Daphnia pulex: one gene and its partners. The protein of the gene in region 2 purifies or fractionates together with the protein of the main gene of each other region. This does not show direct contact. Links are inferred from orthologs where the notes say so. Each region holds a gene or a part of one and is shown on either strand. Other genes may lie near its edges.

Region 1 (3,360 bases), on a different chromosome or scaffold from region 2:
AAAAAATTAAAAATGTAACCTTTAATTCTGAAATGAGTACTTTAATAAAATAAAAAAGAAACATACAGAATGACATTCTATTTTGATATCAGAATCACTATCACTTCTCCTGTTTTGAAGGCAGTCAAGAACAGCCAAATCATTTGGAAGAATTTGAGAGCTGCAAAGACGTGTCACGTCGTCTTTACAAACCGGGTTCGTAGCAATTTTTCCGGTGACATCCAAAGCTCCAACCGAAATAAAAGTTGTTAAGGTCACTAATAGAAAACTAACACCTTGGAATAACATCTTCTATTCCAGTCACTACTTATCAGTTGATTTGAAATTTATTTTTAAGATTGAATTAGAGAACAGTCACATCCCACACTTGGTCAGAATGAACATATTCAGGGACCACAGCAGACGTCAGCCGCGTCACACAGTCTACTGTTTGTTCCGCTTTCGCTATCATCTCTCATCTGTTGCCCAAGAACCTTATAGGTTTCTGCAACCACCTTGTTCAAGTACCGCTTAAAAAAAATCTTCTCAGCGGTTTACGTTTGAATCGGTTTGAGCAACAAAACTATATAAACCACGAACGCGACAAATTGATAAATTGATTAAGAAGAATTTATTTCTTTTACATCGATGGACCTGCGGCACAGATGTAAGCTGTGAAATGAAATCATAGAGACGACAATCCATGCAACGTCAGCGAAATACCTAACATTAGCGTCACAATCATTTACGATATGATACATTTATGAGAAACAGAAAATGAGTGCTGTCGCATAACGGGAACAGAGTGGGACAGAAAAGTTCACAGCAATTATTGGGCACCCTTCAAAAATTAAAAATGAATTTATAACTGTACCATATGTCTTTCAATTTCAACTCATTCAGGAATGTGAATTATGACCATCTTCAAAAAATAAAGTAATAGTACCATTCCAAGAATGTGATCAAATAAACATTTCTTGAGAACTTATCCAAAATTGCAACATGAATTTGTTTTTCTAGCTGTTTTATAGAACATTTTTGATGCATCACTCAGTCCTTGAGATTTTGATACAAGGTCATCCAGTTTTTCACCCCTTTGCAATACAGCTTCAATTGTGTTATGCTATGACAATCAAACATGACTGGTTAAAAAAAAATTAAAACAGATTGAAACTTTAAGACTTAAATTACCAAAATAATCTTAGTCTCATCTAGTTCATCTTGAACTTTAGTTAGAGCATCTGCTTCTCTGGGATTTTGATATTTTGCCAAAGATGCTTCTAATCCAGAATAAGCTGCACAGGCAGCATTTGCTTCTATCCAAAGAGATGATTCCACCCGAGCAGCAAAATCATCAAGCACCTTTTGTAATTAAGAATATCTCATCATTTCAATTCAACCAACATACAAGTAGCACTCACTTTGGTTAACAAGGTATGAGCAACCCTCTGTGGGTATTCATGATCTGCCGTCAAAACACAGCAGAGTCCATCTGCTCTCACATAAATGTGACACATATACTCTGCAATAAAGAAATAACATTTAATTTATAATGTACATTGAGTTTTATGATGACTCTTTGCATACATACCTCCTTGTTTCACCGATTGTCTGGACGCAGCACTTGTCCTTTCAGTCAAGATCTTGGCAGTGAAAGCCATAAATTCTTGAACGCTGCTTCGTTGAAAAAATCCAAAACTTGAGAGGTCGTAAGCCGCTCTAAGTAGCTGTGGTGACCCTTGCTCGCTGCGATGTAAAATCGCTAAAGAATACAGCTTCACCATTTTTCTAGATTTGACTAGTAAATATAAGATCCTCCAACAATCGTCTTACTGATAAGTGGAGAGGCCTTTGTTAATTAGTACTAAAGGTTCAAGTGGACGGCTTGAGTTTTTCCTCAGAAGCGGTTAAATCCGATCCGATAGAAGTCTGCAAAAAGTGACAACCAACAAGAGAAAAAGTTCAATAAAACAACGGGAATGGCCGAAGAACCCATTTGTTGCATCGGAATACACCGCCTCTAGCGGATAAACGTAAAATAAGCTGTTTCCCCGCGCTAATTTGGCGCTAATCAGATTGCTAAATTGAATTATAGTTAATTGCAAGAAAGTAAACACTTTTTTAGTAGAATTAATAATAATTTGAGAAATAAAACATTTGGTTTCAATGTAAATTTCAATACAAAAAACACAAAATTTTACAAAAATCTTTGGGGCAAAATCACACCAACAGAAGAGGCTTCATCGTCACTTTTTTAATAACATACTGACATTGCTAGCGCTAGTCGGACGACATACCTCTGTTCTGTTGTTTTTCGAAGAACGAAATACCGAAAATGTCATCAAATCTTCAACTGTTACTAGAAATGGGATTTTCTGAACAGTTAGCGTAAGTTTTAATTCCAAATAATTCATACCTTTTATATTTTTTAAATGGCAACTTAATATTTTGTTATATTTCTTTGAAATTTGAAAAGTGAAAAGGCTATTAAAGAAACTGGAGACCAAAATATTGAAGCTGCAATGGATTGGTTGATTGTGAACAGTGAGAAATTCAATCAACAAACTGACAACAATCAAGAAATGAAAGAGGAAGAACCAAATGCTGCTGCTCAACCTGAAGCATCAAATGCTGAAATGGCTGCTGTTACTGCCAAATCTATTAAATGTGATGAGTAAGTATGGAACTCAAGTCAACCATTGAATTTCTTACATATGTTTTTTAAAATTTCCTCTAGATGTAATAGACTATTTCGCACAAATGAAGAGGTAGAATTTCATGCTGCGAAAACCGGTCACAGCCAGTTTTCAGAATCTACTGATGAAAAGAAGCCTCTCACTGAAGAAGAAAAGAAGGAACAACTGAGGAAAGTGGAGGAGTTGATGAAGTTGAAGCGCAAAGAACGTGAAGAGAAAGAAAAGGCCGAACAACTGGAGCAAGAAAAAAGAAGAATACAGTCAGGCAAGGAGCTTCTCAATATAAAAAAGAAATTCGAAGAGGATGAAATAAGAAAGATTGCCGAAGAACGGAGGCGCGAAAAAGAAGAAGAGAAAAAAGCCAGACAGCGAGTGAAAGAACAAATTGAACAAGATAAATTGGCACGAAAACAGAAAGCCGGTGACGCAACCAATACGCCATATGTAGCTCCTCCAGTTCAGGCTCCGGCTCCGGCACCGACAACACCCAATCAGCCCAAGGACTATAAGGAGACGAAAATCCAAATAAGGTTATAAATCATTCTGGATGACGCAAGTCCCTCTTCCATAACTCTTTATTATTTCTTCCAGACTTCCAAATGGATCGACAATGACGCAAACATTTGGTGCTAAGGAGCAGCTAGCTTCAGTTCGTCTCTTCATTCAAATGAATAGGACCGATGTA
Region 2 (3,934 bases):
CCAAATCAAGCTAAAATTTAATCAGCTAAAACTTTCCTTAAAATTAAGAATGTTAATCTGATTGATACTGATACAGTATGGAAACGAGAAGTTCCATTAATTTTTTTATACCAATCTTCTAATTAAAACACCTATTACATATTGCATTCAAGGTATTTCGTATTCATGGTCAACACACAAATAGACCAGCCATAAGGTGCGCGAAACTCGAAAATTTGAAACTCTTAACAATTTGTTTGTTGACGGCGTCCATTGTCGTCTGCTACCAAGACGTTTACACTGCGACGTTTCGCACACACCGATTTCGCAGTTTAGTACGGACCCAAAGACTAAAATGCGAAACAGGGTCTCAACTTTTGGGTCCGTTTCGCACAGCTGTTTCGCATTTTAGGCGTTTCGCGTTTCGCGTTTCGCTTTCGCAGTTTAGGGACGCCCCTCTTCGGAGTAAGAGAGCACACACTCGAAGATTCAGAACTGCGGGCTAGTACTAAACTTTGGGAAAATTGTTGCGGTATTTTTTTAGATCAGAGGGTGATTCTAAACAACCTTTCAAAATACAGCTGACGGAAATGAATGGAATTGGAATGCAATTTAAAAAAATACTAGCTGGCTAGCTATAATATTGAAGATGTCAAATATAGATTAGAATTTATTTATTCTTCTGATATTTTACTATTGAATTTTATTCTTAATACATCACAGTTTATAACTTCATCATGAAAATCACCAGAAGTCTGCTGGGCAACATTTTCGTCAGAGGGCACATCTACATTCGTTAATCAAGCACAATGGAGAAACGAACCGTGAGTTTTAAATTCATTAGGATCGAAAATTGTATTGGTAAATGAATTGGAAATCGTACTTTAGATAATTTTCAAGCAAAAAAGATGGCGAATATTACAACAAACACAAGGACAACCCCAAAGACTTTTAGCATCAGCCACCTATTAGAAGAGACGGAACGAAAGTAACGCAAGAGTTCGTCATGAGCGGCTTCCACATTAAGTTGGGCATCGTCGACATTCGAGTCAATCCTACACGAAGAAAAATATTTCCATAAATTCTTTGTTATAACATATTCTAAAATAATTAATATTATTACCGCTGAACCATTTCTTCTTGTTCGCGAACCATGAGAGCCAGTTGCTGGAAAATTCCGCCCAACTCCACGATAGTGGATTCTATACTTTGGACTGCGTCAGAACGACTTTGCAGGTAAGATTCTGTTTCGTCGGCAAACACTTGCTGCTGAATTTGATTCCTGTTGGTTCTGTTGTCAGCGGCACCCATGTCGATAGCTACTGCTTCTCCTCCATGGGCTTGATAGGCAGCATCACGGAGTAGAACAGATCCTTTAGAACCATTTTGAGAGGATCCAAACGGTCCTCCTGTCAAGGCTGCAGCCGGTAAATCAGAAACGACTGGGACGGAGCCAGAAAACTGTTCTCGACGGCTTCTCTGGGCTTTAAGATTCTAAAATATTTTCAAAACATTCATTTTACTGAATATCCTAGATAATAAAATCTAGTAGTTATTTTTTAAACTAGGAAAGGCGTGTACCTCAGTGCGGACTTCAAGGACTTGTTTGAATTCAGAAGACATATTGGCTAGCTTCGACTGAAGAGCTACAACGACATTTGCTGAATGGGCCTTGGTATTTTGTTGTTGATTCTGTTGCTTTTTCATGAATCCTTGCAGATGAGCAATCTGTTTGTTCAGATTTGTGATATCTTCACGGATGATGTAAGTCAGTTCTTGGATCTCTTGAGGACGATCATCAAATAGCGTTCGTTTTTTCGCCACTGCAAGCATAAATGTGAAACCATGAAATGATTGGTTGAACAGTAGAAATTAAAAACAAAGCTAATTACATAGAGTTAGTTTTTCCAGTTTTGCATATGTGTTGCTCAAATCCTTACTAATAACTCTGTACAGAAAAAAATTTGAATATTTTCAATAGTTGCAAATATTTTCTTAAAAGTCGACAACTTACTTTGCCACTTTCATGAATTCAGAGTACTGTTGATGTTGATCTGTATTCTTAGATGGATGTGATTGACTCGGCCTCCCAACTACTCCGTTAACTGGCCTACTCTGGAAGCTTCTGACTGCAGAGAGAAACTCTGCAGTCCGATCACGTGAAGAAGCATTGGTGGAAGACAGAACTGATGAACTCGAATTAGATGCTAGGGCCATCATGTCAGCGCTGTTGGTTTTTGCTTGAACATCTACAAATTTATCTGTTGAATAATTTGGTGCAACAAATGCACCTATTTCACCCTGCGGAACAATGAAAAAGGATGGCTGCTGTTGAGGACTTTCTCCCGACCACAGTAAAACGGATGAAGAGCCTTTCAGGACTTGGTTTTGCAGTTGGGTTTCAGCAAGCGGCTGATGCTCCGATTCAGAGCCTTGCCGGCGTCTTCGAGTAATCATCCGTCAAAAATTTATCTCTCGAAAAATTCATCCGTTTTCGTCTTTGAAATCCAAATAATCGGGAACGCCAGATATTTTGCGACAAGAAACTATACCGAATGCCACGTCATATTAAGGGTTGTCTGCAGAGTGTGTGCAGACGAAAAAATACCAAACATTAGCCGTAATTCCCAACGTTGCCAACGTTAATTATCTACTGTATAAAGTTCAATATTTATCATTTTATTTTAACCTTTATCCAGCTTTATCAATTACTATTATTAATTACTATGTATAGACTTTATCTTTCTACAATGTTGGTTTGCTTTAAATGTCGCAAATTCCTCCTAAGAGAAGTATGACTTACGTACTAGGTTCTCCATCGTTCCCGCGTCATACCAATCAAAATTATGTTTTCATCTCAATTTATTTTTTTTTATTTAGGAAAAGCCGTTTTCATTGCTAGCGAGGGAAGACCAAAACAATATTATAATGCACACTTAGAAAAGTGTACTCATGTGTAATTCTACTGTTGAACACAGAAGTTCCCAAACATTTTTTTTTACATATAAATTTGTAAAGCATTTCTGTTAATTTTATTTTATTTCCTTTCCAAAAATTTTTAACAACCGTCTCAAGATTTACGCTTGATTGCCAAAGCTTACGTAAATCTTCAAATCCCTATAAAACACAAGCAAATAGTATTTGGTTGTACGGAAATAAAATCGTAAATGAAATAATATTGATAACAAACGATTTCTGCATATTATATTTACTAAATATCACTGCCAATTAAATAAGAATAGCAAATTGAGTCGTATTACTCAGAAAGAGACGGCCTGCTCATATTCGAAACAACGATGGAATGTTTAACTGTGGGCCTATAGATATGTAAAGATTGAAGAAACAACAAAGAAAATGATGGCCGGAATTGAATCATTTAAACTTTCTTGGTCGTGGCTGTGCGCTTAACCGTAGTGGACGCGCGCTTAGCAGTTGTAGGTGCGCGCTTGACAGTAGTGGTCCTAGGTCTAGGTGTTGTAGATGCGCGCTTGGCAGTTGTGGGTGCAGGTCCACGCCTAACAGTAGTGGTTCTCGGTTTAGCTGTTGTTCCTGCCCGCTTGACAGTAGTTGTTCTCGGTTTAGCTGTTGTTCCTGCGCGCTTAACCGTTGTCGATGAACGCTTAACAGTCGTAGCAGCACCAGCCATGGGCTTAGCCGTCGTCGATACCTGTTTAACAGTTTTGGGCGTTGTTTTTGAAGCACTCTGCTGGGAATTAGCCAGCGAAATGATGGCTACCACAATAAAAATCTTCACCTATTGAAATCAAACGCATTTTCATTAAATATTTATCAAAGAGTATACACAGTCATAATTTGTTATTGGTAAAATCACTTTCGCCGTGCTTTTGGCCGCTTGGTAGCTTAGAGGCAAGGCTTTAAATACGAATTTTTAAAAATCATTCAGGAAATAGAATACATGAAATACTATTTCAATAAATCGCTGCACTACATCCCA
Region 3 (3,033 bases), on a different chromosome or scaffold from region 2:
ATCAATCAGCTTTTTTTTTTAAATTTCTAATCGCAACATTTCGTGACTTGCTTCATATTTTAGCGCATTTGAACTTCTGGCCTTACCGTGGCAGCAGGACGGAATTACGGTGGCACTTTTAGATTCAATTCTGGCTGACGGACGACTTAGTCATCTAGTATCTGACCCACTACTGTGCAAGAGACTTCAGATCGAATCATTGTACTCGAATGCGATTGATGATCAAGAAGGAGATGCCGTACAAATCCGTGCGGAGGAAGCCCTCGCCATCCCAGACGACATTGATTACTTAGAGTACGAAAATGATTGCCATTTGTTCTAATTCAGTTTGCGTTCTAAAAACATATTTTTGTATAGGAGTTCCATGTCTTTGTCAAACGAAGAACGAAACAAACTAAATGAAGCACGGCCGCAAACGGTAAGGAATAAAATAAGTAAATCTTGAAATCTAACCTAATCTTTCCTAACATTTTGGCTTGTAGATTGGTGCAGCTTCTCGGATTTCTGGCGTTACACCATCTGCCATTCTTACAATATTACAGTACCTTAATCGAAGAAAACGTTTGGCGGTAACAAACTCTTGATCAAGGATAATGACTGAAAATTCTTTGTAATGAACCTTTAAGGAAATAGTAAAGAGCGGGAAGAGCCATCACAGTATAAAATATAGAAGTTTTGAAAGTTATTTTTTAACGCTGAGAATAGAGGAGCAATAGAATGCAACCAAAACCAATCACGCTTCCTAAGATGATGGCATCTCTCCTCTTGCGGAAATTGATGCGCTGAACTACGCTATTGATTACAGGAAAACGGGAAGCCAAGTCGTTGACGCGAGCTTGCATTCGCTTCAAGTTGCTACGTTGATTTGCTATGTGTTCTTTGGTTTCGATGGCAATATTGATCTGATCGTCCACCATCCTCTCAGAACTAGATTAAACACAGAATCAAGCCAATGTAACAATAAGTTTATCTTTAATTAAATACCTCCTCAGGTGCTCATTTTCCTTCAGATAAAGATCAGTGCGCCTATTTCTACCACTGTCATTTTTGTAGGCACTGCAATTGTAAGATAAAGAAATTGTATAGGTAAAAAAGTAACAGTTAGAATTTCTTACTCTATGTCTCTTCTAACACTTCCAAGTAAGTCTTCCCTTTCCTTTTTGGACTGCAAGTGAGATGACGTCTTCTGGAATTCAGTGGTGTAGTCCTGCAAAATGTCACGGTGACGCTGGAGAGTGTGTTGCAAAGCTGCACTTGGGGCTTGAGAGGCAGACACTTCAGTCATTTGGGAGTTAACATCGGTGAGCTGGAAAAATACAAGTAGGCTATGCATTTTTGTGTGAGTCATGGTTGACCCCAAAGTTACCTTGCTAAGAAGCTGTTGAATTTCACTTGACCCTGATTCAAAGGCAAAATTTTCTCCAAGCAGATGAGCTGATTCTCTGCAAATCGAAACGGAAATGATGTAAAAGTGTTGCACTATTTCGTAACACTATTAGGCTACCCATTGGATTTAGAATTGTTGAAAGGGGTGGATCCTAACCCTAATTTACTGAAACTGACCAATTTTGCATCAATTTCATTTTCTAGCTGTCGGGCTTGCTTCCGCAAATCTGTATCAAATAGAGGACATATTATTTGAAAAACCAGTCCCATGACTTTAAACTAGTATATTTACCTTCCCAAGAATAGGTTCCTCTTGTCATATTGATGACGTTGACTGTCTCCGTTGTCTCCAGCCTGATTCCGTTTTACGTACTGTAATTTGATGGGATTTTACAAGCAACGAAGTTCACGAAGAAGAAAACATAAATAAAACTGAGGATAACAGATATCTTGAACTAGAACGACGAAATAACACGTAAAAACTGCCAACAATAACTAGTTTTGGATATTTATGTAGGTCTGCTCCTGTCAGTTTACGACGACGTATTACGGGAATTGATTCAACACCATTTGACAACGGTGTACTTACAAAAGGGTTTGAAATGAAATAACCGTTTTGACAAGCCTGTGTTCCAGAGCACGCATTTTTCACGTTAACCCAAAAACAAGTTTTGTTAAAATGGCATCAAGTTTGAAGAGTTTGTCACAGATTTGGAATAAGACTTCAAGGTCAGACGGTGCAACTGAAGAGATTACTCATACGTTGGGTGTCAATGGCAGTGGGAGTAGACGTCAATTGTCTAGACAGTTCAAAAGTGTCTCCGATGCTACGACGGAACAAGAACAACCACAGCCCCAAAGGAGATTATTACGTAGCAGAGGAGTACTTTCCTCCATCAGCAATCTCAATGTAGCTAATGTGCCCAAGGAAACTCGTAAACTCATCCAAGCTGGTGCTGAGAAAGTCAACCAAACATTCAATGATGTTCGCAACACTTTTGGAACTTGGTCCCAGGTTTGAAGCACAACTCTTCTTGTGTATAATTTAGTAGATTCATATCATGTTTATTTATCTACAGAAACTCAAGAATAATCCAGCTAGACGTCGACAAAGGCTAGTGAATAGTTCTCCATACACACCAGGAAGAGGAAAAGACACTCCAAGATCAAAACAGTTGTTGGGACGAACTCCAACTAAACTATACAGGTTTTTTAAAATGTAGTTTGAAATCATTCAAGAATTTAAAAACTAATTGCAGTGTTTCTAACTATTCAACAGCCCTTTTGGCATTGAGACACCATCGAGTCGACGTCAGCGAAATCATCAGAATTTGTACGGCAAACCTGGCACGTATACCCCCACGCGAGCCACAAGCAATAAGCGTTCTGGCAATAGCAGCAACAATGCCGATTTGGGACCCATCTTTAATGCTGCTTCCGTGTACAGCCCGACCCAGGTATTATTCACTCGCTACACCTGCCCAGGAAAAGCGATTGATCATCTCTCTCTCCCTTTCTATCTCTCATCTCCAGGCTTTCCCGAAAGACGTCCAACACGTTCGTCAAGGTGTAGAAGACTTCAACCGAGCAGCTGAGGGCGTGGTCCGTCGCAGTCTCCGACATCAGATGTCCACCGCCCACCTATAA

What was found. The genes of interacting proteins can lie anywhere in the genome.
Region 1: the proteins of syntaxin-5-like (region 2) and synaptobrevin homolog YKT6-like purify together in Homo sapiens (affinity purification with mass spectrometry; 3 studies listed by BioGRID and IntAct, with this or other methods). This does not show direct contact. The link is inferred for Daphnia pulex from reciprocal best matches to the Homo sapiens genes STX5 and YKT6.
Region 3: the proteins of syntaxin-5-like (region 2) and Golgi SNAP receptor complex member 1-like purify together in Homo sapiens (affinity purification with western blotting; 3 studies listed by BioGRID, with this or other methods). This does not show direct contact. The link is inferred for Daphnia pulex from reciprocal best matches to the Homo sapiens genes STX5 and GOSR1.

The regions. Positions count from the first base shown.
Region 1 is NC_060026.1:12,911,395-12,914,754, forward strand, and holds synaptobrevin homolog YKT6-like, read right to left. Parts: upstream 1,988-3,360; 5' UTR 1,764-1,987; coding exon 1,571-1,763; intron 1,502-1,570; coding exon 1,401-1,501; intron 1,342-1,400; coding exon 1,171-1,341; intron 1,103-1,170; coding exon 965-1,102; 3' UTR 592-964; downstream 1-591. Other genes in the region: Golgi apparatus protein 1-like, read right to left, coding at 67-288; UBX domain-containing protein 1-B-like, read left to right, coding at 2,315-2,367, 2,456-2,653, 2,717-3,205, 3,267-3,360. UniProt on the Homo sapiens protein: Vesicular soluble NSF attachment protein receptor (v-SNARE) mediating vesicle docking and fusion to a specific acceptor cellular compartment. Functions in endoplasmic reticulum to Golgi transport; as part of a SNARE complex composed of GOSR1, GOSR2 and STX5.
Region 2 is NC_060017.1:4,341,462-4,345,395, reverse strand, and holds syntaxin-5-like, read right to left. Parts: upstream 2,591-3,934; 5' UTR 2,437-2,590; coding exon 1,994-2,436; intron 1,928-1,993; coding exon 1,872-1,927; intron 1,803-1,871; coding exon 1,561-1,802; intron 1,474-1,560; coding exon 1,103-1,473; intron 1,035-1,102; coding exon 875-1,034; 3' UTR 637-874; downstream 1-636. Other genes in the region: proteoglycan 4-like, read right to left, coding at 3,356-3,733. UniProt on the Homo sapiens protein: Mediates endoplasmic reticulum to Golgi transport.
Region 3 is NC_060027.1:385,281-388,313, reverse strand, and holds Golgi SNAP receptor complex member 1-like, read right to left. Parts: upstream 1,822-3,033; 5' UTR 1,707-1,821; coding exon 1,679-1,706; intron 1,614-1,678; coding exon 1,505-1,613; intron 1,443-1,504; coding exon 1,367-1,442; intron 1,307-1,366; coding exon 1,116-1,306; intron 1,057-1,115; coding exon 985-1,056; intron 928-984; coding exon 690-927; 3' UTR 592-689; downstream 1-591. Other genes in the region: protein MTO1 homolog, mitochondrial-like, read left to right, coding at 64-294, 358-418, 483-584; uncharacterized protein LOC124207221, read left to right, coding at 2,066-2,401, 2,466-2,593, 2,666-2,843, 2,920-3,033. UniProt on the Homo sapiens protein: Involved in transport from the ER to the Golgi apparatus as well as in intra-Golgi transport. It belongs to a super-family of proteins called t-SNAREs or soluble NSF (N-ethylmaleimide-sensitive factor) attachment protein receptor.